3 linked regions of the Xenopus tropicalis genome follow. Each later gene encodes a partner of the first gene's protein in a complex. Links are inferred from orthologs where the notes say so. Each region holds a gene or a part of one and is shown on either strand. Other genes may lie near its edges. The genes, in order: tubgcp5, tubgcp2 and nme7.

Evidence for each region.
Region 2: tubgcp5 (region 1) and tubgcp2 share a complex: the UniProt entries of both Homo sapiens proteins name them as parts of the gamma-tubulin ring complex. The link is inferred for Xenopus tropicalis from reciprocal best matches to the Homo sapiens genes TUBGCP5 and TUBGCP2.
Region 3: tubgcp5 (region 1) and nme7 share a complex: the UniProt entries of both Homo sapiens proteins name them as parts of the gamma-tubulin ring complex. The link is inferred for Xenopus tropicalis from reciprocal best matches to the Homo sapiens genes TUBGCP5 and NME7.

Annotation. Positions count from the first base shown.
Region 1 is NC_030678.2:114,836,070-114,845,079, forward strand, and holds the start of tubgcp5 (gamma-tubulin complex component 5), read right to left. Parts: upstream 6,070-9,010; 5' UTR 5,965-6,069; coding exon 5,831-5,964; intron 4,746-5,830; coding exon 4,692-4,745; intron 4,595-4,691; coding exon 4,486-4,594; intron 3,505-4,485; coding exon 3,408-3,504; intron 3,080-3,407; coding exon 3,000-3,079; intron 2,466-2,999; coding exon 2,333-2,465; intron 2,126-2,332; coding exon 2,008-2,125; intron 1,132-2,007; coding exon 1,042-1,131; intron 1-1,041. UniProt on the Homo sapiens protein: Component of the gamma-tubulin ring complex (gTuRC) which mediates microtubule nucleation.
Region 2 is NC_030683.2:56,279,721-56,288,045, forward strand, and holds the start of tubgcp2 (gamma-tubulin complex component 2), read right to left. Parts: upstream 8,314-8,325; 5' UTR 8,210-8,313; intron 3,397-8,209; exon of another isoform or gene 3,242-3,396; intron 2,641-3,241; 5' UTR 2,631-2,640; coding exon 2,481-2,630; intron 1-2,480. UniProt on the Homo sapiens protein: Component of the gamma-tubulin ring complex (gTuRC) which mediates microtubule nucleation.
Region 3 is NC_030678.2:55,287,135-55,295,459, forward strand, and holds part of nme7 (nucleoside diphosphate kinase 7), read right to left. Parts: intron 7,556-8,325; coding exon 7,505-7,555; intron 2,491-7,504; coding exon 2,283-2,490; intron 1,063-2,282; coding exon 957-1,062; intron 1-956. UniProt on the Homo sapiens protein: Possesses an intrinsic kinase activity. Displays 3'-5' exonuclease activity with a preference for single-stranded DNA. Does not seem to have nucleoside diphosphate kinase activity.

The sequences.
Region 1 (9,010 bases):
ATAGCTTTTATCCAGTAAGTATGCCTGAAAATATTACATTGTAATGGACCAAAGCACAATAAAGGAACATAATGTACAGTCAAAGCATGCACCTGCCAGTGAACAGATCCATAAACCTAAAGCACTACACAGGTCTAAGGCCAAATCAGCACTGATCTCTCTGCATTTTTGGAACTAAATGTTTGGCAGCTCCACTGTATGTATTTTTAAAAAGACATTTGTAAGATAAAAGTAGCATTTATTTATCCTTTAACTACAAAACTGGATTCCCAAACTTCTCTCTTGCTAAATGTACAAAAAAATAAACATGGTACTATGTATGAAGGTTATAGAGCCAAATAGGAAGGGACAGGCATCTAACATTCTGCCACCTACATTCTGAGACAAATCAGGCTGATCCAATTGTTTGGCCCCCGGGCCAACAATCATATCTTATTGGATGTCTACGCAGGCTTGATGGGAGAGGACCACAACAATGGTCTATGTGGTCCTCACTCAAAGAGATTTTTGAACCTGGCTGATAGATATCTGCCCAATATTTGGCCAGATATTTAATTGGGGAGACAGTCGGGGGGGGGGGGCATACATGGGCCTAAAAGGGCCAAATTACTATTCTAAATTTGTTTAGAGAGAAAATCTTTTTCATCCTACTACTACATCACCTTTGTAAGCAATGAGAAGCAGCGGGGATGAAGTATCTATTTTTACAGTGTTCTTGCCCTCCTGCTGAGTACTTTACACCAGCTAAGTGGTCCCCATTGGATGTCCAAGAACACAGATATATGTTGGCAACGTAGCCCTACAATATGAGACATATACAAACTTAACATACCGATTTTCTTCCAGAAATGCTATGAGCTACCTTTGACCTTCCTAGATAATTTCTGTACTGAATGCCTTCAAATCATATATACATGCTGTATACAGAAAATTTGAAATTTACTTTGCATAACTAAATATGATACTAAGAATAACAATATATAAACTAATTACTGACAGTTCACCTCATAACATAAATGGACTGTGCAGCTTTCTACTTACCAAAGAGTCTCACGAATAACCTGGGTTTCAGTAACAATAGTTTTATCATCAGGTGTATACAGTGGATCTGTGGTATACAAATGCTGATCCCTAAAACATAAAGTTGTTTGCAGTCATTAGAAATTCAGTAGAACTAAGAGTATTATGAAATTAATAAACATACAAAAAGTCATATTAGCAGAAAGCATTGCAACTCAGATAGTATCACTTTATCTTTTCATTTCCGTAACATTGTCCCATTGATGTCACTGGAATTGTTTAAAACTACTGGCAGAGAAAATTTTTTAGACAAGAATCGTACTGAAGTTTAAAAAGCAAACAATCATGTAACATTGTATCCAAGGGCATAAGCCTGAGGTTAATTGTGCATTCAAACACAGGCAGTGCAAAACCAAGCCTTTATATGGTGCATGGAAGTCATCCATGCTATATTTTTCACTTCATTCCTAGCAACGTTTAGGGAAGACAATTTGAGGTGTTTTAACAGCACAATTTGAGCAGGACAAAAAAAATTTAAAGCGTAAACAAATCTTAAACCTCTAATATGTTTAGATCTTAGAGTAGGGAACCCCAACTTTTTATACCCATGAGCCACATTCAAATGGAAAAAGTGTTGGGGAGCAACACAAGCATGGAAAAAGTTCCTGAGGGGCCAAATAAGAGCTATAATTGACAATTTGGTAGCCCCCATGTGGACTGGCAGCCTATAGAAGGCTCTGTTTGGCTTTACACTGGGTTTTATGCAACCAAAACTTGCCTCCAAGCCAGAAATTCAAAAATAAGCACCCGATTTGAGGCCACTGGGAGCAACATCCAAGGGCTTGTTGAGCAACATGTTGCTCATGAACCACTGCCTTAAAGGGACACTAACATTAAAAACACTTTTAAATAACTTGTATATATTAGTGACTTGGACTAATGAAATTCCTGCTGTGGTCACACCAGCTTAACTAGAGGGTTACTTACCAGATGGCTGACAGATTCGAATGAAGATGGGAGCTATGAGAAAATCGGGAAACTCTGGCTGTCCAGTACTGATGCACAATATGCTGCTCTAGCCAACTTCGTGCATCTGGCTCGCCAACTGCATAAAACATTTATGAGAATTATTAGCTGCATTAAAAGAAAGCCTTTACCTTTAACTAAAATGTGAGCAGCTGTAGATCTGCAAGATATCAAGAACCGCAGGCATCAAAAAGCTACCCTATTTAGAGCAAAAACACAAAGATTTTAAACAGGCAATTTATGTCATGAAATGCCGGGAAGGGGTGGGTGGAAAAGATGCACAGACCTTTCCATGATACCAAAGGAGAAGCACCTTTCTTTTCAGGATCCTCCAGTGGGGTTCTATCAACCTGAATTCCTGAGTCTTCCCTGCTAAGAGGCTCTTGATCATCCTCTTCTTCACTAGCTTCAGACCACTCCTGAAAATGACATGAATGCTTTAAAATAAGGTTGTCAAGCAAACAAAAAAAAATGGCACAGTGGGATGCTTAAAGGAAATGACAAAGAGAAATGTACCCCTTTTTTCTAAAAAGCCAGAAAAAATCACTAACAATAAAAGTTTTGTTTTCTTTTGGGCAGCACCCATATTTCTCAAGCAAAGGACACTCTTTTGTTGTAGATGGCTGCTGTTAGCCTGGTCAGCATGCCCCCCTCTAGAACTTGGAGCACATACAAATTTGTGTATGTGAATGGTAACACAGCTACAGACAAGTTATAAGACTTCCCTTACATAACTATTAATAGAAGTATTACAATATCGCCACCTATATTATTTTGCAGGAGTAAAAATAAGCATACAACGTTTTGGGTCATTTACATTCCTTTCATAAATATATAGAAGTGCTGTAAAGACACCATTTAAAGGACAAACAGTTGTGGTGCCATGGCCTCATTATTTAATGCATACATCTTAATTCTTTATCTAATAATACAAACAAATATGCAATACTTACAGGAGTTGCTACATCAGGGCTGACTTCTAGATCTTCCCCTTCCCTTAGGTATTTACCCCAGTCAAATGGTTCCTCTTCATCTAAAATAAAGCATTAGAATGCCGTTGGCATAAAAATGAACATAAACAACACACAGGTTTACAAATTACCAATTAAACACAATGCTTCCTTGATATAATGTCTACTTGCAGCATTAAAATTACCATTGCAAAGAAGGTTTTGTTGTAATGAAATAATTTATATGGTCTTTGTGCATTTGACAACACAGTTTGTTTCCTTTGTTTTCTAAGCAAAGATGGCACCAAAAGGTTGGGGCAGTATAGCAAGGAAGCATTTTACATAGTTGTAATACATATTTAATTACTAAGTTTTATCCTAGCATTATTTTAGTTTGTTAACATCGATTACCAGTTTCCTTCTTCCTTGGTTTTTCAATGTAATCATGGTTGGAAGGAGAGTCAGACAGACAAAGCAAGAGAGACAGTACAGCAAAATGTGAATCTGTCTGTGGGGGAAAAAAAAGAGATTCAGATTCTCAGTCAAACATTACCAATTAGATCTTTTTCCTTCAAATCCATATATTACCTGGGGTGTTACAGACCCCATAAAAGGAATGCAAAAGTCAAAAAGGTCTGCAATGTTCACACAGGAAATCTTTCTATGCAAAAGCAATCTTTGTTTTAGGACTGTCATGCTGCTCATGAGTAGTGAAATTTTTATAGTTCCTTCTTATGCAAAATGAGACTTAAGGCCTGCATGAAATACACTCCTATGTAGCATGGGATTGTTTCACTTGATACATCTGGCTAGAGCGAGACTTTGGTAACGTGAAATGTATAAAGTATAGGCTTAAATGTTGGAAATGGGCGAAGGTGATCTGCAAGAAGAGGTCCTATAATTAACGTATAACTGGAGGCTTGCATTATTATTTAAGTACCTACATGATCTCTGCTAATGTTTGTGCAGGTAAGCCCTCACACCAAAGGGTCCCTATACAACTTCCCCACATGATTTAAACACCACAAGAAAGTAATAAGGATAATCTGGAACAAAAGTGTGAATCAAGTAGGCACTTAAAAAGTTAGAATAGACATTCAACAATGGATATACAATACCTTTAACTATCCATGCAATTCTATTTTTTCCACGGCAAGTCAATATCTACAAATTAACAGTACTTTTGGAACTTTGGTTTGAAGTTATAAACTGCTTGGGAAGTGTATGTTTCCCCAAGGGGCTTCCATGCAGCAATTTCTAAAGCTCCTTATTTTAAGGATGGAGGTAGGGCTGGAGACACAACCAAATGCACCAGGGTGCACAAGAACACCTATAATCTACATCCTGAGGTGGCACAGTGTGTAGCCCTATACCTTACAGAAGGAAATACAGAGCTAGATAGTGCACACAGATCACTTTAATTGTAGTCTTTCAAACCACTAGAAAAATCCCACCATGTCCCCAGAGTCAGACAAACAAAATAATGCACCTTGGTTCCTTCAGTGCTTGGAAGAGGCAAAGAAAGGAACTCTTCTGTCAGTCTTTTCCAGCTTTCAGCTTTCTCTAGGTCTGAATGAATTACCAGCTTTTCAAATATTCTAAAGGTAAATGAGAAAATAGTTGGACATTGTTTTGAAACAAAAAAAGTATTGTTTTTTGTTTTTTTAGCAAATAGTACAAACATAATAAAAGTACCCTTCCAATGTTCTGAGGACTTTGTGGCTGCTAACATCAAGGTACCGGTGAAATCTGGAAAGAAACATTTTACTATTAAAGTGCAGAAGGTTGGGATGAAATATAGATTATGAATGATCTACATGGACAGATGTAAACTGATCTTCATCAGAACACCAAAATGATATGTAGGGCTTTGCTATAATATTATATTATACAGGAGACTTACCATAAATTACGAGGGCTACACAATTAAACCAATGGGTTGTGAGAAGGGCCCCTTTTATGCTGCTGTTTTACTCTGTAACTCTTTTGTTAATGTATTACAAATTAGTAACATAGTAAGTTGGGTTGAAAAAAGACATACGTCCATCAAGTTCAACCATAATGCCTATATATATAACCTGCCTAACTACTAGTTGATCCAGAGGAAGGCAAAAAACCCCTCTGAAGCCTCTCTAATTTGCCGCAGAGGGGATGTATAACTTAGTGGTGCTATATAAATAAATTGTGATGAATCAAGATTATTTTAAAAAAAACTGATCAGGTTTAGACTGAGCAGAAAAAAAACATTTTTCTCACACCAGTGGCGTAACTATCAATAGGCCCCACAACCGTGGAGGAGCCCAGTAGAGACCCCAATCTCCCTTGCAAACTTTTTCTTGCCTGCATTCTATTTCATTGGATTTATTAACTCACAGATATGTAAGTAAAAATGGGTTGCAACTATTTTTTTTTACATGGGGGACCAGTGAGCACTAAGTGTTGCCATTGTCATTATCAGCCAAGCAACAATATACCAATGTACCACCTACAAATTTCTGCATTATTTATAAATTAATATTTACATCTACTCAGTTATCAGCTTCCAAACTGGCATTGCATTTTATATGATCAGTTGGCAAACTTCAAGCCCCTAAATGCTATTGAGATCTGGTGTTTTACATAGCACCCCCATCAAGCAGAGTGTGTGTATCCGGCCATTTATAATCTAGTGCAGTACTCTGTTTATTTAACATACTACATACTGATGTGGTGATGATCACACATACACAGTAGCCTATTGAGAACACAGGTCAGCCAGGTTCCTTATCAGAGAGTTGCCATAGGAGAGCAAAGCTGCACAACGCTAAGCAGAACAATGCTCATTCGAATCGCACCTGAAGTTGGACCAGGCGAACTGCAAGGCCTGCTGGAAGTTATTGTCCTGCTCATCCTGAATGCCGCTCACCACGGACACAAGCGTTTTTATATCGCGCTCTTGATCCCTCTCGAAACGGGTCCAATGTGCCATAAGCCCCGCTGGTTATAGAACCACTCTGTCAACTCAACCGTCATTTCATCCCGCCCCTCGGCTGTACAACAGTTCCGCATGACCAATCAAAGCTAAGTTCGAGAAATACGTGGGGCAGTCTCTTGTATCAGGCAAAGGTAAAAGGAAGCGGAAGTGTTCAGTCGCCATTTATAATTAGGGCGAGAGTTGTGTTAGGGTGCGTGTTTTATCTGTGCCTAGTAATGCGGGAGTCGGGCTTCTCACCTTACAGATAACTTTTAGTATGATGTAGACAGAAGAATTCTAAGAGAGTTCTTATGTTTTATTGTTTTTGTTTTGTCCATTTTTTTTTTGTTTTCAGGTTGCTTGCTAGAGGTTAATCTAGCAACGAGTGAGCACCACCACTTTTGGTTGGTGAGATAATTCTTCTCTGACCACAACATTTTCTGCTGCAATCTGGAAACGGTCACTAGCAAAGCTAATTAAAACACACAAAGCAAATGTCTCTGATGATGTTCATTCATGATATATAGTATCTCTGTATATGAACTGAAGACGCCGCTCAAATGGGAGGTGGAAAGTTTTCAAGAAAACACAAAGTCCTGTTGCTTTAGGGCTGTGACAGACAGGGAGATCAGTTGCTGTGCAACAAATCTCCCTTGCTGTGGGAGACTGATCTCTCCAATATGCCATCCCACCAGCTAGAATGTAAGTTGTTGGAGGGATGGCATACGCGGCACCGAAATCACTGAAGTTTCTTCTCAAGGCGATTTTGGCAAATAGCGGCGCAGCGTATGCTATCCCACCAGCGATTTACATTCTAACCGGTGGGATGGCATAACGGGGAGATTAGTGGCCCTCGACAAGGGAGAATTGTTGCATGGCGACTAATCTCCCTGTCTGACACAGCCCTTAAGGTGGCCATACACGCACCGATAATATCGGTTTCGTACGATATTCGGTGCGTGTATGGTATGTCGCCGAGTCGACCAATATCGCAGGAAGCCATAGAAGGCGCCTGACCAAAATCTCCCTTCAGCGCTGAATCGGCAGAAGGAGGTAGAAATCCTATTGTTTCTACCTCCTTACCTGCCGATTCAGCCCTGAATGGTGTGTGGCGGATCTGACGATGTTTGGTGTGACCGATGGTCGCATCCAAGCAATTATAGGCAGTACTCCGTCTTAATTCATTAAAATGCCTTTATTGTCACAATGCGGGCAGCAGCATCACATTGTAACAATAAAGGCATTTTAATGTATTAAGACGGAATGCTGCCTATAATTGCTAGGTTGTTCCAGCATATTTAAATTGTGGTATACACACAGGTTGTTCTGTTATCATATATATATGGTGCACCCTTTTATGTGTGTACTGTACTATATATACAGTATTCCTACCCCTCCCACCTTCCTTTCTCAGCCTCCCTTTTCGTACTTCTCCTTTCTCTCTCCCTTATTATTTAACATATTACACTGCCCAGAATTAGACTTTATAAAGGGCCCAGTGTGGCCAGAAACAATCCTATTAGAGATGCTGACCCTCATCTATGCAGGAACTACAGAGAGTTGGACTTGATTTTATATATGCAACTTTTACCTGTAGGCACCTATAGGGGTAATGTGCCCCTATGGCTTTAAACCCTACACTTACTTATCTCCTTGTTACTGGGCAAGGATTTGTGTATCTATTTGGTATTTACATATACCTCTATTATTGGCCCATAAGTTAGACCACAGCTTACCACACTTTGATATAGTGTTTGGAAAGGGGTGGTTCTTCCTTCTTGGCCTGCAACTTTGATCTGTGTGGATGCTCCAGGAAGCCTGGGATCCACACCAGCCCAGAAGTGTTAGGCCCTAAGGCTAATGCCACACGTAGCGTATGCATCATATTTTCAGCAAGCCAAGAACACGCTACATATGCTTAAAAATCCTCCTACCTGTGTCTGTACCCAAATGCATTGAATACGCTCGGGTATAGGCACATGTAGTTGATATCCACCGAAAATGTGAAGTCTTGCTTTTTTTGGCGAATATCAGCTACATGTGCCTGCCCCTGAGCATATTCAATGCATTCGGTTGCAGGCACAGGTAGGAGGATTTTTAAGCATATGTAGCGTATTCTCTGCAAGCGGTTTTAGGCTTTCTGAAAATATGATACATACACGCTATGTGTGGCATTAGCCTAAGGAAGGGAACCATCACCCTTAGAGAAGTCAGGTAGCAGGAACCCCATGAACATGGCATAGCAAGGATTGGATATCTCCTGTTATAGCACGTTTAGGAATGTGAGTCAGATTTGTTTAGTAAGAGCAGTTTCTGGCTCCATCTAGAGGATTAGTCTCCTTTACAGGCTCTGCAGCCTTATTGTAGGGACCGCAGTTAAGACACAGGAATCAGGCTAGTCCTTTTTTCCCTGAACCACCGTCGGCTGTTTGGGATCTGGTCCAATAAGGTGGGCATCCTAAGGATGAAAGTCTGTTTTCCCTATGCTCTCCACAGTGGTGCAGTACTGTTCTACCCTTATTATCTATTGAGTCTGCCTTGCTTTATCACCTCATTGGCTGAGAGTATATTATCTGAACCCTGCAAATCACATCTGTTATTTCTGCCAAATAAATCCGTTTGCAAGAGCTTCTGGTGTCCATTTACTTCTTTATTTAAACTCTGTGCTTACATTTGGCCGTAGGAGTTACACAACACCCTCAATTAAAGTTACTTCCACTTTGTGAAGGCCCATCCTGGGAAAGGGGAGTCCCATGTACCCCATGCTCTACCCATAGCTGGATCTTGGCCTTATATAGCCAAATAGGGGTTACATACCTATTTCCACTTTCTTTCTTATTTTAATGCCCCATTGTTTCATATTTTGATTCTATATCTTTTCATCTCAAAAATATTCAAACAATGCAAATAATAAAAATGTTAAATAATTTTCATTCTGAACTTTATTAGAAAGATGCGTCTCGGCAGGCAACTATTTATACTTCCAGATGTAGAAATTTCCTCCTTAAGGCACTGTCTAAAATTCTTCGAAAGAATGAAAAAACCCATCCTTTATGACTCA
Region 2 (8,325 bases), on another chromosome or scaffold:
TGTCTGCTCCAAACATTTTTCATATTGTGGGAAATTTATCACAATGCAAATTTATGGTAAATCCCTGCACCTAGGAAATTTGACTATGAAGATTCTCATTCATGAAGGTTATGATATACAGTATCTAGTAGAATTAAGTCTAAAACAATTGGACTTTTTACGAATTTTTTCCTAAAAATGTTTCACCACTCATCCAAGTGGCTTCTTCAGTTTAAATGACTGGTAGGGAATTCCCTGGGATTTAAACCCTTGAGGGTAGTAACATGCATATTTTGGACTGAGAGGACAGATCGTTTGAAAGAGGTGTGTAAGAGGCTATTTATGCCAGCATGGAACCATTATGATTGGATGCCTGTGACTGTACTACCCTCAAGGGTTTAAATGCCGGGAAATTACCTACCAGTCATTTGAACTGAAGAAGCCACTCGGATGAGTGGTGAAACGTTTTCAAGAAAAAGCTCAGAAAATTCCAGCTGTTTTAGACTTAATTCTAATAGATAAAGAAAATTTGAATAAAAATGTGAAAACATTTTTTCACAACTGAGAAAATGTGAAAATAAATGATTTTCCCAACCTGCCTTTTAGGAAAAAATGCTAGCCAAAAATTATAAATTGGAGAACATTTCCCAAAACCTTGAATTGTATTCACTGGTGATAAAATGTAACAAGAAAGGATGTCTGCAAGCAGATCAAATCCTGAAAACAAACTAATTATTAGTAATTAATAGTGCACCCTGTTTTTAACAGCAAAGCAAATTCTGAGCTAATTTTGACCAGTAAAATACTTCAGGCTTTAGGTAACCTGCTTTTTGGAAGGGAAAGTGGGGATCAGGTGTCAGGACCTGTATATAATGCATTTGAGGGTAAAGTTCCCAGAAGTCGCTGGAAAACTAATTATAGATGCAATATAGATTCACAAATGAGAATTCTACTGATCAAAAAACTTCATTGTAAATGCAACAGAATCCCCAAATGAGAATGCCGATTCCCAGCACTATGTTGGGCTGTTATCTTGCCCGACATATACACATATACAGATAATTATCTCATTTTTTTCCTCATTATAGGACACCGGAATCAGACATGGGGAGAAAGGACAGACTTGTTCAGTACTGGGAAACTGTGCTTAATGCTTTCAATTCTAATTACAGGAGGATTTTTCACAGCAGTTGCTGGCTGTATAGATTAAGGGAAAAGTTTTGGAAATGTTTTATTGTGCAGTATTACTTTAACAATACAACCCTGGTGTTCCTGGACTACAGCTCCCACCATGCCTCAACATTCATTACATGTTACATTATTCTAGGATTTGTAGTCCAAAAACAACTGAGTAAAGTTTGGTTGAGCAGTCAGTGCAGCAGGGTTTACATTCCCTTTAACTTAAAGTCCTAGGCCTGGAATTATAGAGAGGCCACAAAGGCCCAGACAAAAGGCAGCATCTGCACTTGCTTGTTCATTCAAACTGGGAACATGGGACTGTTTTAATCTCTCACATGTTGAGATTCAAGTGCTCTAGAACAGAGCTGTCCAACTTGGGTGGTACCGAGGGCCGGAATTTTTCCGACCTACGTGATGGAGGGCCGATAATGGAAGCCAGTTTTGACCACTCCCCTTTTTGAAACCACACCCGTGTTATCACATAACCATACCCATATTAATGGTTGTAGTACAGCAAAAACCTGCCATACCCTGTCTGTGTGTGCCATACTTTGACTGTGTGTGCGATTCTTGGCTGGTTTGTGCCATACTTGGCCTGTGTGTGCCATACTCTGCTTGCCCTACCCTGCCTGTGTGTGCCATATTCTGCTTGCTCTACCCTGCCTGTGTGTACCATACTCTGCCTGCCCTATGCTGCCTGTGTATATGGCACACACAGGCAGCATACAGTGACACAATGCTGGCACTGCTCCTACAGTCTGCACAATAACTATATATTAAAAAACGTTTTAATTGCAGTACCACCTCAGTATATGTTCTTTTTGTAGTGTGCAGGGATTATTTATGGGTTTCTACTGCTCTATTTACAGTCTGACTGAGGTGTGAACAGGGGAACAATGTGGGTGATTACAGCCTGAGACTGAGGTGTGAACACTGCAGGGGGTAAACAATGCAGGGATTAAAAGGTGTGAACAACACAGGGGATTACATTTTTAAACAATACAGAGGGTTTACAGCCTGAATCTGAGGTGAGAACCATGCAGGGGGGGCAGTTACTCACAGTACTGATACCATTTAAATCTTACACAAGAGTAAGCCATCAAAGCAGCCAGACAGGTGGGGGGCCACACAGAGGGGGGTCGCGGGCCGCCAGTTGGACAGCACTGCTCTAGAACAAGCTGACATGCTGGGCTTGGGGTGGAGGCATGATGCAGGCTTAGGGTTGCACCTTTGGAAACCTTGTCTTTCCAGTGCCCTTCACCTTTGCATAAGGTGACCACCCAAAGACTTACCCAGTAAGAAATGCAAAAAAATTGTCTTACTTTGGCACTATGAGTAGAAACACTGGTAGTGACATAGGGAGTACGATTTTTCTGCAGAAGATCAATGTAAACTTCCGCCCCTTCTAATCCAAAGACATGCAGAAGGCTGATGAGCTCATTTACATCATGGTGAATCCGAAATTCACTCATAGTGAATGATCTAGGAAAGACAGATTGAACATGCACATATATAAAAACTTCATAAAAATAGTCAAACAGCACAAAAAGTTTTAAACCAGTCTACTTATTATTCTTACTGTACAGCAGAAGCCAATTTAGTAATGATTAAGGGTCCATACTTAAATTATTATTTATTTTCTTTAAAATACTATAGTTTAGTCACATAAAGACAATTAAAAGGATATTATCACAGTATTTATAGTCATCTACTTTTATATGAATCGTACACAAGCAAATATTTACTTAAGTTCAAATATCAAAATTAACAACATTTTGCCAAAAAAATATGCTACAACATCAGCAATTTATTTATCTCATTATCTACATCATACCCTGCATGCTAATATTACATTTCATTGTGCTGTTAATTCATCAGTGTATTTTCCAAAATACAGTTGTATGAGGAAAATATAAAAATTATGTATGACAGGCAAGTTTTGGCAGATTGCAGTCGCAAAGGCGTTATCTGTTATTTTAAGCAAATGTCACAGTGAAACTATACTTTGCATTAACCCGTTCCCTGCCAAGCATGTAGGTACTACGTTATTTTAAAAAATAGTTATTTGCCAAGCACATAGTACCTATGTTCTTGGCAGAAAAGGGTTTCCCTCTGCGGCGGCTTTTCACACTCGTGTCTGCTGTAAGAGGTTCCTGCTGCAGCAGCCCACCCAGCAGCCTCACTTCCTAATGCAGAGACTGTGTGGTCCTAGGGTCCTCTGTGCAGTGATGTAATTTCCTTATAGAATTAAAATTAAAACCAATATAAATATACCAGTAATAAAGTAATGCGAAAATACAAACATCCATTAAGTACATCAAATATTAGATTAGTCAAATTCAAATCAATGAATGGTTCATTTAGGATAAGTTTACATTAACAGGTGATCAAATAGAAGAAAAGAGAAGAAAAGAGATGGGGAGAAACAGGTTATTTATGACAGCTCAAATCCCATCTAACATTAAGTCCTTGTAGTTCCTATGTGTTAAGTAAAAAAAATCCACTTAGCTTCAAGATTTAGTAATTTCTTTACAATATCACCTCCTCTGTTATTTATGATAGCACTATCAATACCTTGAACTCGTAACATAAATACCTATCCTCCATTACAGAGTTTAAAGTGTCTTGCCACTGCTGTTAATTCACTTTTAGAGGCAATCTGGTTTATATGTTCTCTTATGGGATTTTTTGAAGGCCTGGTTGTGCATCCTACATATTGAATGTTAAAGTTCATACAAGTTAGTAGATACACTGAAGCTGCGGTGTTACAATGTAGCTGTTTATCTTATAGTTTTTTCCTGTGCTTGTACTTGTGAAACATTTTGATACAAATACTTTAGAGCAAGTGATACAACGTGAGGACCCACATCGATACATCCCTTTCACTTGTAGCCAATTGCCTCTTACTCTATCACGTTTAGATTCACTTGGTGATGTGGGTGCTCTTTTGCTAACAAATTTGCATCTCTCTCCTAGGACATGTCGTAGTTTAGGATCATTATATAGAATAGGGAGATGTTTCTTAATATATTTGACTGAATTGATTACTGTATGGAGTAAACATAAATGCAATTTTATTCTTTTTTTTTTATTTTTAAGCAAATCCTCTCTGTTCCTATTTAATGCTTTATTGAAAGCGCTGTCTAGATCATTCTTGGAGTAACCTCTCGCCATTAATTTACCTTTTAATCCACGTGCTCTATCTATAAAATCAGATTCTGAACTACAGTTACGTTTCAATCTACAGAACTGTCCAGTAGGGATGCCTCTAAATGCATTCTTTGGATGACAAGAAGCTGCCTGTAATACCTCTGTATACCTGCAATACCTGCATTCCCTGTGCATTCTTTCTTAAAAACAGTGGTAACCATTTTTAAATCTAAATGTGACTGTGTTATATCCAAAAAGGCGATACTAGTCTCATTCCAGTGACCTGTGAAATTTAAATTTAGATCATTGTGATTTAAAGGACAATGAAAGGTTAATATAAATTAAAAGTAAGTCTAAAGGCATTCTTTTTAAGTACTTACTGCATATCTAAATTCCCAGATCCCTGCTTGCTTCTCTGAGATATGGTGCTGGCAGCCTACAGCAGTGTGAAGACTACAGTGACATCACTGAAATCTCTCTTCCCTTCCTGTAGGCTGCCAGCGGCGGCCTTCCTATTCTCTGAGCATGTGTGTAACTTGATCCTATCTCCTGTTCTGAGCTACACATGCCCACCAGCCAATCAGAAGCGGATCTGGCAGAGGGGAGGGGGGAGGGAATGAAACACATGTGCAGTATGAAGCAAGGAGAAAAAGGAAGGGAGAATACCTTTTTAGAGATGGCTGCCTGTTCTAGAAAATGTGAAGTAAGTGTGACTGAGTAAATATCTGGTTAGGTGAGCCAAAAGTGTGGCGTTTGTACTAAACAATGGGAGGACTATTGGGCAGTATGCTTTTTAAATTTTGACTTGCATTCTCCTTTAAACTTTCTAAAAAGCAGGTTATTACCTGCTTTTTAGAAAGTTTAAATCACAATGATCTAAATTTAAAATTTATAAATATTTGTATGGAAAGGTGAAGGGTCTACTATTGTAGACCCTTCACCTTTCCATACAAATATAAAGTTGTCTATATAACGTTTGTAGACAACAATAGCCTTTGTGTTGGTGTCACTACCTTCATAGGTGGTTCTCCTCCCACCAACCCATGTAGAGGTTGGCTTATGTGGGTGCGAATTATGCACCGACTGAGATCCCACATCTCTGAAGGTAATAGACACCATCAAATTGAAAAAAGTTGTGATGTAATAGATAGTCTATTGCTTCCAAAATAAAATATTTAATAGCAATTGAGTAGTCACTATATTTATCTAAATGATATGTTATAGATATAATCAGATCTCCACTTAAAATCCTCTAATAGCTGTATCACATGTTGTATCTTTCAAATATGATTTAAGTCTTAATACAAGGGGTTGTAAGTACAGATCAATTAGCTCTGATAGTTTCTCATTAAGAGAATTCATACCAGAGACAATTGGACATCCTTTAGGTGGAATTAAACCCTTAATGTACTTTAGGGAGGTGATAGAACAACTGCACCATGGGATATTCCAGAACAAGTGCTAATTTGATTGCCAGAAATTTTTTTACCTTCTGGCAAGCACAGATATATACCAGCAGAAAAATACTGGAACAACACTCTTGACAACATTCTCAGGAACCCTAGCAGCGAGAGAGGAGACATCTCTCTTAACTATAAGTTCTTACTGGAAAACATAGACTATGACAAACTAACAAAACAACCAAGACAATGGACAGCGAACCTAGACAGAATGGAAATAAAGCTAATGCTGACAGCATATAAACAAATATGGTATACTTTACCATCCAGCATATACAGGGAAATTGCTGTTAAATCGATTTCATAGGATTTACCTAACCCCATTAACCTTGTTTAAAGCCCAAATGAGACAGGATGAACATTGCCCCAAATTTCAAGGAGCCCCAGCTGACTTAATGCATTGTCTGTGGAACTGCCCACTTATGAAACGTTTCTTGCTGCAGGTTAAAAACTATGCAACCAGGTACCTGGTTAACTATGTACCCCTGCCACCACAGTGAGCAATATGAGGAGTGAACCCAAATACTGCTACAAGAATGACCAGCGGGGCCAAAACACTTTTACTTATTCTGTCCGCTGTCGGCAAAAAAACTATATATCAATATTATTAATATTTATTTTATGAATATTTAATTCCTCGGGCAATGAAAATAACTGGTTTCAAACCTAGTGGTAAATAACACAGACCATGAGAGGAGACCCGACCATACAGAAAGAGTTAAACCTTAGCCTTCTAGCAAATAAATTGTTATTAGAGACCATGGGCTGGGGAGAAAAGTATAGTGCTGGGTTTGGGAACAGATAGAAAATATTGCGCTGTTATTACATATATATTTGGTTTCGTCCCTGAAGAAAAGTACTGTTTGTACTCGAAATTGAGTCCCTGAGCGTGCGGTACTCTTTTTCTATATACAAACGATCCGGAACAGCACCTCTTATCTTTTAAATTAAAATGCCTTTATTGCAAATTTCAGGGGCAAACAACAGCAACGTTTCAGGCCATGCGTGGCCTTTTATCAAGCTACAAATTAAATACAAGGTGTTGTGCTGACTACTACTTCCAAAACTCTTTTTCTATATGTCTATTTTTTGACCCTGCACCCAGGGATGTTATTTTGGTGACAGTGTGCTCCACACTGTTCTGTTCTCTCTCCCTATTATATATACCGTATATACTCGAGTATAAGCAGAGTTTTCCAGCACTCAAAATGTGCTAAAAAAGGAAGCCTCGGCTTATACTCGAGTGTACTTGTGTCGAAGGACAAGGATATGCCGGTTCGACACAAGTAATCAGATGGTGCGCGGCGCGACAAAGGGATGTGATGGTAGGACAAGGATGAAGAAGTGAAGAGAAACTATGGTTCCTTTGTTAGGTATCTGTCCATTGGCAAGGGGGCCGATTAGTTGTATACCATATGGGGATGGCCTATGTTTAGCTGTCTTAACAGCTAAAAAATGCAATTTGTAAAAGAAATGTATTGATATATCTATCCGCCTATTTATACACACTGTGTATGACTAGTGTAGAAATGGGCAACCTTTGGCATTTCAGCTGGTGAGGAAATACAGTCCCTTAAATAGACATGGTTTGAGTTCCACGATAGCTGAAATAACTATGTCTGTATAACTGGGCTGGGGTGTTGTGAAAAAAATAAATGGTAAACAATTGGTAATATCCCAACAGGATTAGGGGAGCTAAGAGCTGAATTTATCAATAATAAAAGAGAGTGGCTAAGGCTGGAGATATGTAACAAAAGTACCAAAAATTAATGACATTTCCTAAATGAGGTAAAATTATGCATTTGACACATTTGTGGTAACCCTTTTCTTGCTCTAAAAAAGTCAAAAGATGATGTGGAAAATAGCAGCTAGTAGAAGTTGCCCAATTGCCTAATCAGGGAAAATGGGCCTTTTGTGCTCTATTGCAGAAAACATTGCAGATTGCATCCTGCCCTGCACATAGTAAGGGAATGCTCTTATGTTTTATTTATTTACTGTTATTTATATCACATCAGTCCCTGCCCTAGAGAAGCTTGCAATCTAAGGTCCATATCTGGTTGCTAGGGCCTTGTTTACCTTAGCAACCAGAGAGTGGTTTGCAGAAGAGACTGGATGAGATAAGAGTCAGAAATATTTACTGTTTTACTGAGGTGTTTTTTCTTGCAAAATCCTTGTTTACAAGGCACGTTAGTAATACCATGGCCAAAGCTTTTTTTTTTTTTCCTTCGTTGTTCTTAAGCATCCTATTATTCGGACAGAGGGTTAACTTGAAACCGTATATTACAACTTCCTGCCTTAAAATTCCGTCATCAAAATTAATAATTTTAAAAGCAAACCTGATGTGTGCAGGGGCAGGTACCTAGCGATTTCAGAACAATTATATTTTCACAGACTTGACCTCATTGACAATGGCATTTAGGGAACAATTATTCCAGTCTCACCTCAGCGCACAGGGATTTTCAGTGGAAAAGCACTTTCTCTGGTCCCAAAGAGAACAACCCCTCCAATAATTTGCAGTTACAGTTGTAGTAATAACCCGCTTTCACAGGCGGGCACG
Region 3 (8,325 bases), about 60 Mb from region 1:
ATAAAAACCAATAATTTTAGGAAAGTATTGAGACTTGATAGTTTGGAGTAGACAGACAGTTGTGCCTATTCTGGATTCCCCAGAATCTCTTCTTTCTAAAAATGTAAAATTTTCTGGGATAAACTTTCTGTTAGCGGAATTTTTGGCCTTAAAATCTAAAGTGTGCAGCTTTCTGGAGCAGTGCTTTGGAAATTTGGTAGTGTACTGCTGGGAGTTTTTGACCTATACATGTGAGAAATCTCCATAAAACTATATATATTTGGTATTGGCACGTTCAGGAGACATGGGACTTTCCAAATCAGGTGTATTTTCATGCATAAAATAATTTTTGTTTCTGGTATGTGTGTTTATATTATGGAAAATATAATTTTTTTTCATTTTTTAGACATTTAGAAGCCTATATCTTGTTACAAAATTGGAATTACACAAAAATTCTACCATATTTTAAAAGCTTAGGTTGTCCTGAAAAAAACAATATATTGTTTTCCTGGGTAAACTAAAAGTTCCCCCAAGGAAAGGCCCCTAAAGTGAAACAGTGCAAAATGTTCAAAAACTGTCTGGCAGTAGAAGTTCCACTTTGTTCAAAACGGCTGGCAGTGAAAGGGTTAACATCAAATGAACCAAAATATCTCCAGCCTTACTTACAGCCACCTTGAGAGCCAAAAGTGTAGTTCCTTTCCCTAACCACCAAAAAGGGGAAATGCTGAATATCAAAGTTGTAGGAACAGAGATAGGCTCAACAGCAGGACATACCTTGCAGAAGTGCGTTTATTGTGCCATTTTCCAAAAAAAAAAAGGCACAATACATGCACTTTTTCAAAGGAAAGGAAAGTCCTGCGGATGTGCCTATGTCTGTTCCTACAACTTTGATATTCCTTTTACATATCCTGCTGTGAAATTTTCACTGTTTTGTGTCATCCTTTGATATGTAAACAATAGCATAGTGTTATACTCACCTTCAGAAATGGCATGGGGCTTAATAATACAGCAAGTACAGTCTGTAAACTTTGCAGTATTTTTTGGAGCACGTCCTCCACTTGATGGAAAGAAAAATTCCAATTCCTAGTAACATTTAACAAAAAAAAATTAACTTTTGTTAAGAATTTGAAGGCTAGCATTCCTGTTACAAGAAAAAAAACATTTGTAAAATAAAAACTTGGCAAAGGGACAGCAAGAGCTGCAGTACAGTTAAACTCACAGTATCAATCTACTAGTGATATTAGGAGTTCCAGAAGCAATAGCTACAAATGTAAAAGCGAGTCTATCCATGGCCAAATATCTGTATATATATATATCCTTGCTAGTATATGGAACTACAACACAGATAAGCCATGCAGAGAAATAAAAAGGCTGTGCAAATTCTAAAGCTAGGTACAAAACATCTAGTTTGTGCCAGGTTACCATACCAGTTTTTTTGTCTGAGATGGTGTGCCAGAACTCTCATTCAAGTTAGGCTACGTGAAAAGATGAAAACAAAACTCTATTGTTTATAAACCACAAGCATTCTATAACAATATTAAACCCTCCAACAGATCAGACTCAATCTGCATAATCTGTATTAAAACCCAGTTTTCCATGTTCCCAGAGTGAACCAGCACTAAAATTAGGTCAGTTCCAGTAAGTTCTTACTTGCTATATTCTGTCTGGGGTTGTGATTCATTTGATTTACAATGAGTTAGCAGATTTAATTGAAAATACCAAAAAGGGACTTCAAAACGATTGCCAAGGATTTATGCAGATATGTTTTAACAGGGCCAATCAGTGCTGAGGTCAGGCAGAAAGAAATAAGCTTTTAAAGAATGTGTGCAGTATTAGGGAGTTAAACACAGTTCTTTTAAATAACCAGCCAGCTGACTAAAAAGTAGAGGAACATCAATAGTCTATTGATTTTGACAGAGAAACCCGATGATCTTAGACAAATGTTTTCTTATCATACTATACTTACTGCATAGACACTAAAGGAGTTATTTATTCTACCCAGGAAAGAAGTGCTTGAGCACTAAGGGGCACAGGTCCCCCAGGTCTGGCTGCACTCCACTGTATTCAAATTATGCCTGGCTGATAAGAATAAGATCACAGTATGTTTCAGTATGATTATTTGCATTTTATTTTTGACCTGCTATTAAATAAATTAATTAGAAGGTAATGTATTCCTTCACTTACTCTTTTCAGAAACAGCTATATTACTTACTAAAATTCATATAATATAGAGTTGACTAAAGAAATCAGGACTGACAAAACATTTCCATTTTTACTAGAAAGTATAGATCTTCTATACTTACACGAGCAGCTGAAGCAATGGAATCTGAACCATGAGCTGCATTCTTGGTGCCATCAGTTCCAAACCTTGCTCTTATGCTCTGAGGAAGTTCACTCCTTGCAATGCTGGAATTTGTTGGTCCTAATAATTTTCTCCATGAAGAGACAGCTTCATCTCCAACTACCTCCATTGCTACAATGGGCCCACTTGTCATAAAACTAATAAGATCACTGAAAAACATATGAAATGGTTTACTTGGACATAAAATCAAAAGGTGTATTGAAAGTATAACATTTCACATTTTGCTTAACAGCACAGAACAATGCTTTTTCTAAAGATAATTTTATGGGATCTCTAATTTCTATAGAATATGAACAAATGTAGGACATTTTGGGGTGTTTCTATGTACCTGTAACTAGTGATGAGCTAATCTGTCCAGATGAAAAATTAGCGAAACTTACCCTTAAATTTCGCAAAACGCAACCTTTTTTCCGCAACTGCAACTTTTTTTTTTATACGACTGCAATATTTTGCTGCCATTTGGCAAAAAAAAAAATTGCCAATGGCAAAATGCGGAATTTCCCTGCAAATCCATTTGTGGTAAAAAACTTAGCTCATCACTACCTGTAACCATCAGGCCATGACCCCAAATGGTATTTTAATACTTGACTAAAGGGGTTTGGGAGTAGAAAGGGAATGAGACACTAAAGTCATCACATCATTACATAACTTTATATTTTTCTATAACTTTTATATATAACTTTAATATTTAAAATTTGCCAGAAATTGATATGTTTTCTTCCGTAAATGACAAGAAAAAGCATAAGGAGAAGGAGAATAGTTAGCCCAAAAAAGGATTTTAAAAATAACTAAATACCTGTTTATCATTTTTTATCTCTGTGTAAAGTTACCCTGGTTATCCCAGTCTTTCTGTACATTGCTTGTACAGGTATGGGATCCCTTATCCGGAAACCCCTTATCCAGAGAGCTCCGAATTATGGAAAGCCCATCTCCCATAGACTACATTTTAATCAAATAATTCAGAATTTTAAAACCGATTTCCTTTTTCTCTGTAGTAATAAAACAGTACCTTGTAATTGATCCCAACTAAGATATAAATAATCCTTATTGGAGGCAAAACAATCTTATTGGGTTTAATTAATGTTTTATTGATTTTTTAGTAGACTTAAGGTATGGAGCTCCAAATTACGGAAAGACCCCTTATCCGGAATACCCTCGGCCCCAAGCATTCTGGATAACGGGTTCTATACCTGTACTAGTTACACACTAGTTAGTTTGAGAGTGCAAATAACAGTCAGTATATGGAGGTGTGTTTGTGGTGCTAAAAAATATTGTCCAGGTCATGGGATCTTTTATCCAGTAACCCATTATCTAGAAAGCTCCAAATACAATTTCCCATAGTATCTACTTTTTAAATTATGAACCTACATGAAAAGTTACCTATAGATCATGTTGATCGTTTCTTGCTAATAGGGCTGTTTTTGTAAGTAATTGTTACTTGAAATTCCTAAACCTGACTGTTTTGCCAACCTGACTGTCCTTTCTCAACCTGTCAGTTATAGCTTCTAATGCTAACGGCCTCCTGCTGCACAAATATGGCAGCCCCCTTATAGGGGAACATGAGGGATCAGAGAGGTAATGTAAAAGCATCGGACAAATACTTTTATGGCAAAATTATAAATAGCATGCAAAGACAATGTTATGATAGATGTAAAAAAGGTTTCATTTCTGGTATCAGGATCTCTTTAAATATTATACCATACAATAATAAACCACTTTTCAATAATTTCTGGTGTAAATAATTTTACACAGTATAGTAAATAGGCCCCTTTGTCTTTAAGGACTTGGAGTGCAACAACAAAATTGTGATTAAGCCAGCAGATAAGAGATTTACCCAATTAGTATCTGACACACCCAAATAGCTTTAACAGATTAATATAACAACTAAAATGTCACAGCACTAAGTTAAACCATTCCAGCTTCCTAACAAGAATCTAGCCCAGACAGCTTTTAAGGTTAAAAAAAAAAAAAAAAAAAAAAAAAAAAAAAAAAAAAAAAAAAGTGTGCACATGTGTGTATATGTGTATTTTTAGTTCTTTATCCTAGATAAAAAAAATCCAAGCTGGCCATATTTGATTATGTTTATCATGTTAAACAAACTATGTTACTCTAGATTATTTGATATACAGATATTTACTTTGCTGAAAGAACATTAAAACTAATATTTGCTTTTAGCATACTATACCCTATATAGTTAACATATGCAGCTATCCTCGCTGCGAAATTGTAGATTATTTCCTTTATAATTTTTTTTCCAAGTAATTGTTAAGGCAATCACAGATTGGGTTTTTTCAGTGATTATGAGAATAGACTGACAAGAAGCAGGCAGACATTTATATAGTCTTTAATAAAAAGGTAGTTTGGGGTGTTTGGTTGCCCATGCAGAAGAGATTTTGTACATTCCAGAAACCACCTTCTCTGTTTTTAGGCCAATGCCACATGGGGCGGATTCTTGGCCTGTGGATAAACGCAGGCTGAGAATCCTCCCTTGCACTCAATAAAGCTTATGGTTGTGTCTGCACTGTGTACTGTACCCAGGCACAATGGCTCCAGGTGCAGGCCCATCAATAAGCTTCTTTAAATGCAGGGGTGGGATCTGCCCTGTGAGGCACTGGCTTTAACATTGAAGACATAATATTTACATATGTTTAACCCAAGGCAACTTGAATTTTGGCTTCTTCTGTCTTTGTGTTTATTTAAAAAAAAAAACCAAAAACATTAAAAAATCTTTGCTTACGAAAAGCATCACATCACCATTGAGTAGGATCTCTTACAGCAACTTCCTCCCACTGTCAAAGTCACTGTGGGAAGAAACCTTATTATGTAGACTGACTTTTCCTTCTCTCCAAATGTGTTGTTTCTTTGTGTTTCTTTCCCCATAAGCACCCTGGCAGATAAGAAGTTTTGTCGCCTGCAGTAAATCTTTGCAACTGCGGACAACAAATCTCCCAAAAATGCCTTCTCATTGCCTAACATTTGGACCTGGCAATGTACACAATGTTGTAGGCAAAATTGAGTAATGGCTAAAAGGTAACTAGAGGTTAAGATGGAAACAATAACAACAAAGGATTTCCGAGAATAAAAGAAATTAGTACTTGTGTATGAGGATTTAAAATACTGGAATAGGGGTTGAATTCAGGAGTGTTGACATTATATATCAGCAGAAAATGAATGAAAAGTGATATATCTGTGCTGATATACTGTAGGTATATAGAATTTCTTGTGTAATGGAATGCTGAGGCCAATGTTATCTGTTTTGTATTTGTGGTACTAGTGGTGGGTGTGGTGTTATATGAAGCCAGTAAAGGATTAGAAGGTGGGTGGAAATTAGGATTACAGAGGTTGTTTAGTGAGTAGAACTTCTTTGGTAGCAGTACAGGCATGAATCTCAATTGGAGCAAGTGAGGGCCTGTCCATGACCTTCTCAACTGTTTTTGGCTGATCTGGAGGCATCTTTAAAGGCATGTAAAGCCTACATTTGCCTACAAGGTATATCAGTTGGGCATGTCACCCCCACCATAATGGCATTATTTGTACTGCATATATCCCCCTCCATCACCATCACATTTTCCTAAAGCAAATAGCAGCTTTCACACGGTGGCCATTTTTCCTCTGATGCATAATCAGATACATTTATATCTGCAAACAGCATACACACACATACCCTTATTCAGCATTCAGCTGAGCTCAGGAGAGGAGGTTAGGAGAAAAAAAGAGAAGCAGACAGCTAGAGCTGAGTTTATATGGAAACCAGCAATGCCATCTCTTCACTGGCTGCTAGTCTGAAGGATGTGTTTAGTAATCTGAGTTTAGAACAACTGAGCATGCCCACAAGCCAATAGCCAAAGCAAATTCCTGATGGGAGGGGGCCCAAGTGGGTTTCAGGAGGAGAAGGAAATCTAAGTGATTAAGGGTATGTTGCAGCCTTCCTATTAACCTCTGGACAACCAGAGTGGCAGGTATTGAAAGATTTCAGAGGCTGTTCACTGATTACATTTTTGTGTGTGGGTTTTACATGCCCTTTAAAGGCAGCAAGTTGAAATAGTGTGCCAAAGTTGGATTAGCTGTGGGCCAGAGTAAGTGTAAGGGTACAGTTGAAGGGGAAAGCATGTGATAAACTGCAAATTTGAGAATGCTCAGGTTGTATGATAATTGCCTTATAAATAGGCACTAGGACACATGGTTAAGTGAGCAAAGGCAAGTGGACTAACACCAGGGGGTGTAAACAAAATAAAAAAAATCCAAACAAAACAGGGACATGAACATCCAGTTAGGATACCTTAATCTTCCCTAATAATAAAAGAGAATCTCTAAAACTATGTCAAAGCATATATATTTTTCCATAAGCAGGTTGTTCACAGGTGTGCATATTTACAAAAGGAACTTGAGCTACAGCCTGAGTTATTCCAAGGTTCCCATAGCAGGCTGCGTCAATAGGTGCAACAAATGTAGAGACACTTGCAAAAGACACAGTAATGCCATTTGAATAATGCAATCCCCACAATGAAATTTTGCACTTGCTTCAATTTTGTTGTATCAGATACTACTGTGGTTAAAGGAACAGTAACACTAAAAAATAAAAGAGCTTTAAAGTAATAAAAATATAATGTACTGTTGCCCTGCACTGGTAAAACTGGTGTGTTTGCTACAGTAACACTACTATAATTTATATAATAAGCTGCTGTGTAGCCACGGGGGCAGCCATTCAAGCTGGAAAAAAGGAGAAAGGCACAGGTTACATAGCAGATAACAGATAAGCTCTGTAGAATACAATAGTGTTTTATCTGTTATCTGCTATGTGCCTGTGCCTTTTCTCCTTTGAATGGCTGCCCCCATGGCTATATAGCACCTTATTTATATAAAATTATAGTAGACTTTCTGAAGTAAACACACAACTTTTACCAGTGCAGGGCAGCAGCACATTATATTTTAGTTACTTTTATACACTTTCATTTTTTGGTGTTACTGTTCCTTTAAGACAAGCCACAATGACATTGAAGTTGTGGGTAAAAAAATGGCAAATTGCAGCTAAAAATTGCACACTGCACTCACAGTCGTAAATGGGACTTTATATGTCAAATATGGTGACAAAATTGTCCACAGTGTACCGCAACTGAATTTTAATCCCACTTTACCTTCTGTAGATCAACTTTAAAACCATACCTAAAAAATGATTTTGAATGATGTTCATTATAAAAGTCCATTGCTTCAGTTCTGTAAAAAAGAATAAAGAGATGTTACAGCTGCATTTCTTTTCCTCTTTACCCCTGGCAAATTTTGTCTTATATTTTACATTAGGGGATACACTATACAGATGAATGAGTAAGATTTGGCACCCATGGCCAAATAACACATCTAAGCTAGTTTAAGTGAAATCAGCAAAGTAAAGAAAAGAAACTGTGTGTATGTAAGTACGTACGTACGTACGTACGTACGTACGTACGTACGTACGTACGTTATCCACGCCGTTATCTTTGAATCTTGGACAATTAAAGGGAGTGCGGACAGTGTGAGGTATTTTTATTTATATATATGTATAAACACACACACACAATTTATTCACTTTGTCCAGCCTTACCCTCTGTATTGTGTACTTTAACTTATGACAGTTTCTTTCAGCCCATTTCCAGTTCTAGGCAGCTAATATAATGGGGGTGGATTTGCAGAATTGATATGAACCACACTGAGAAATAACCGCAAGCTAATATAATTTACTAGAGCTTAATGACACCATTAAAGTAAAGCACATCAAAGAGAGGTATAAATGCTGATTAAGGTGGAAAAACAAACACTGGTATTTAACATTGTGGCTGATCTGATTTAAGAAAGTGGATAAAAAAATACTAATTTAACTTTATGAGACAAACAATAGGGCAATAGCTGTCATTCACTACCAGCTGAGGCTAATTTAATATGTACTGGTTTCTAACTAAAACTTTCCATGCCGCCTCTTGTCATGGGACACATCTACAGTGGTGCTGTCA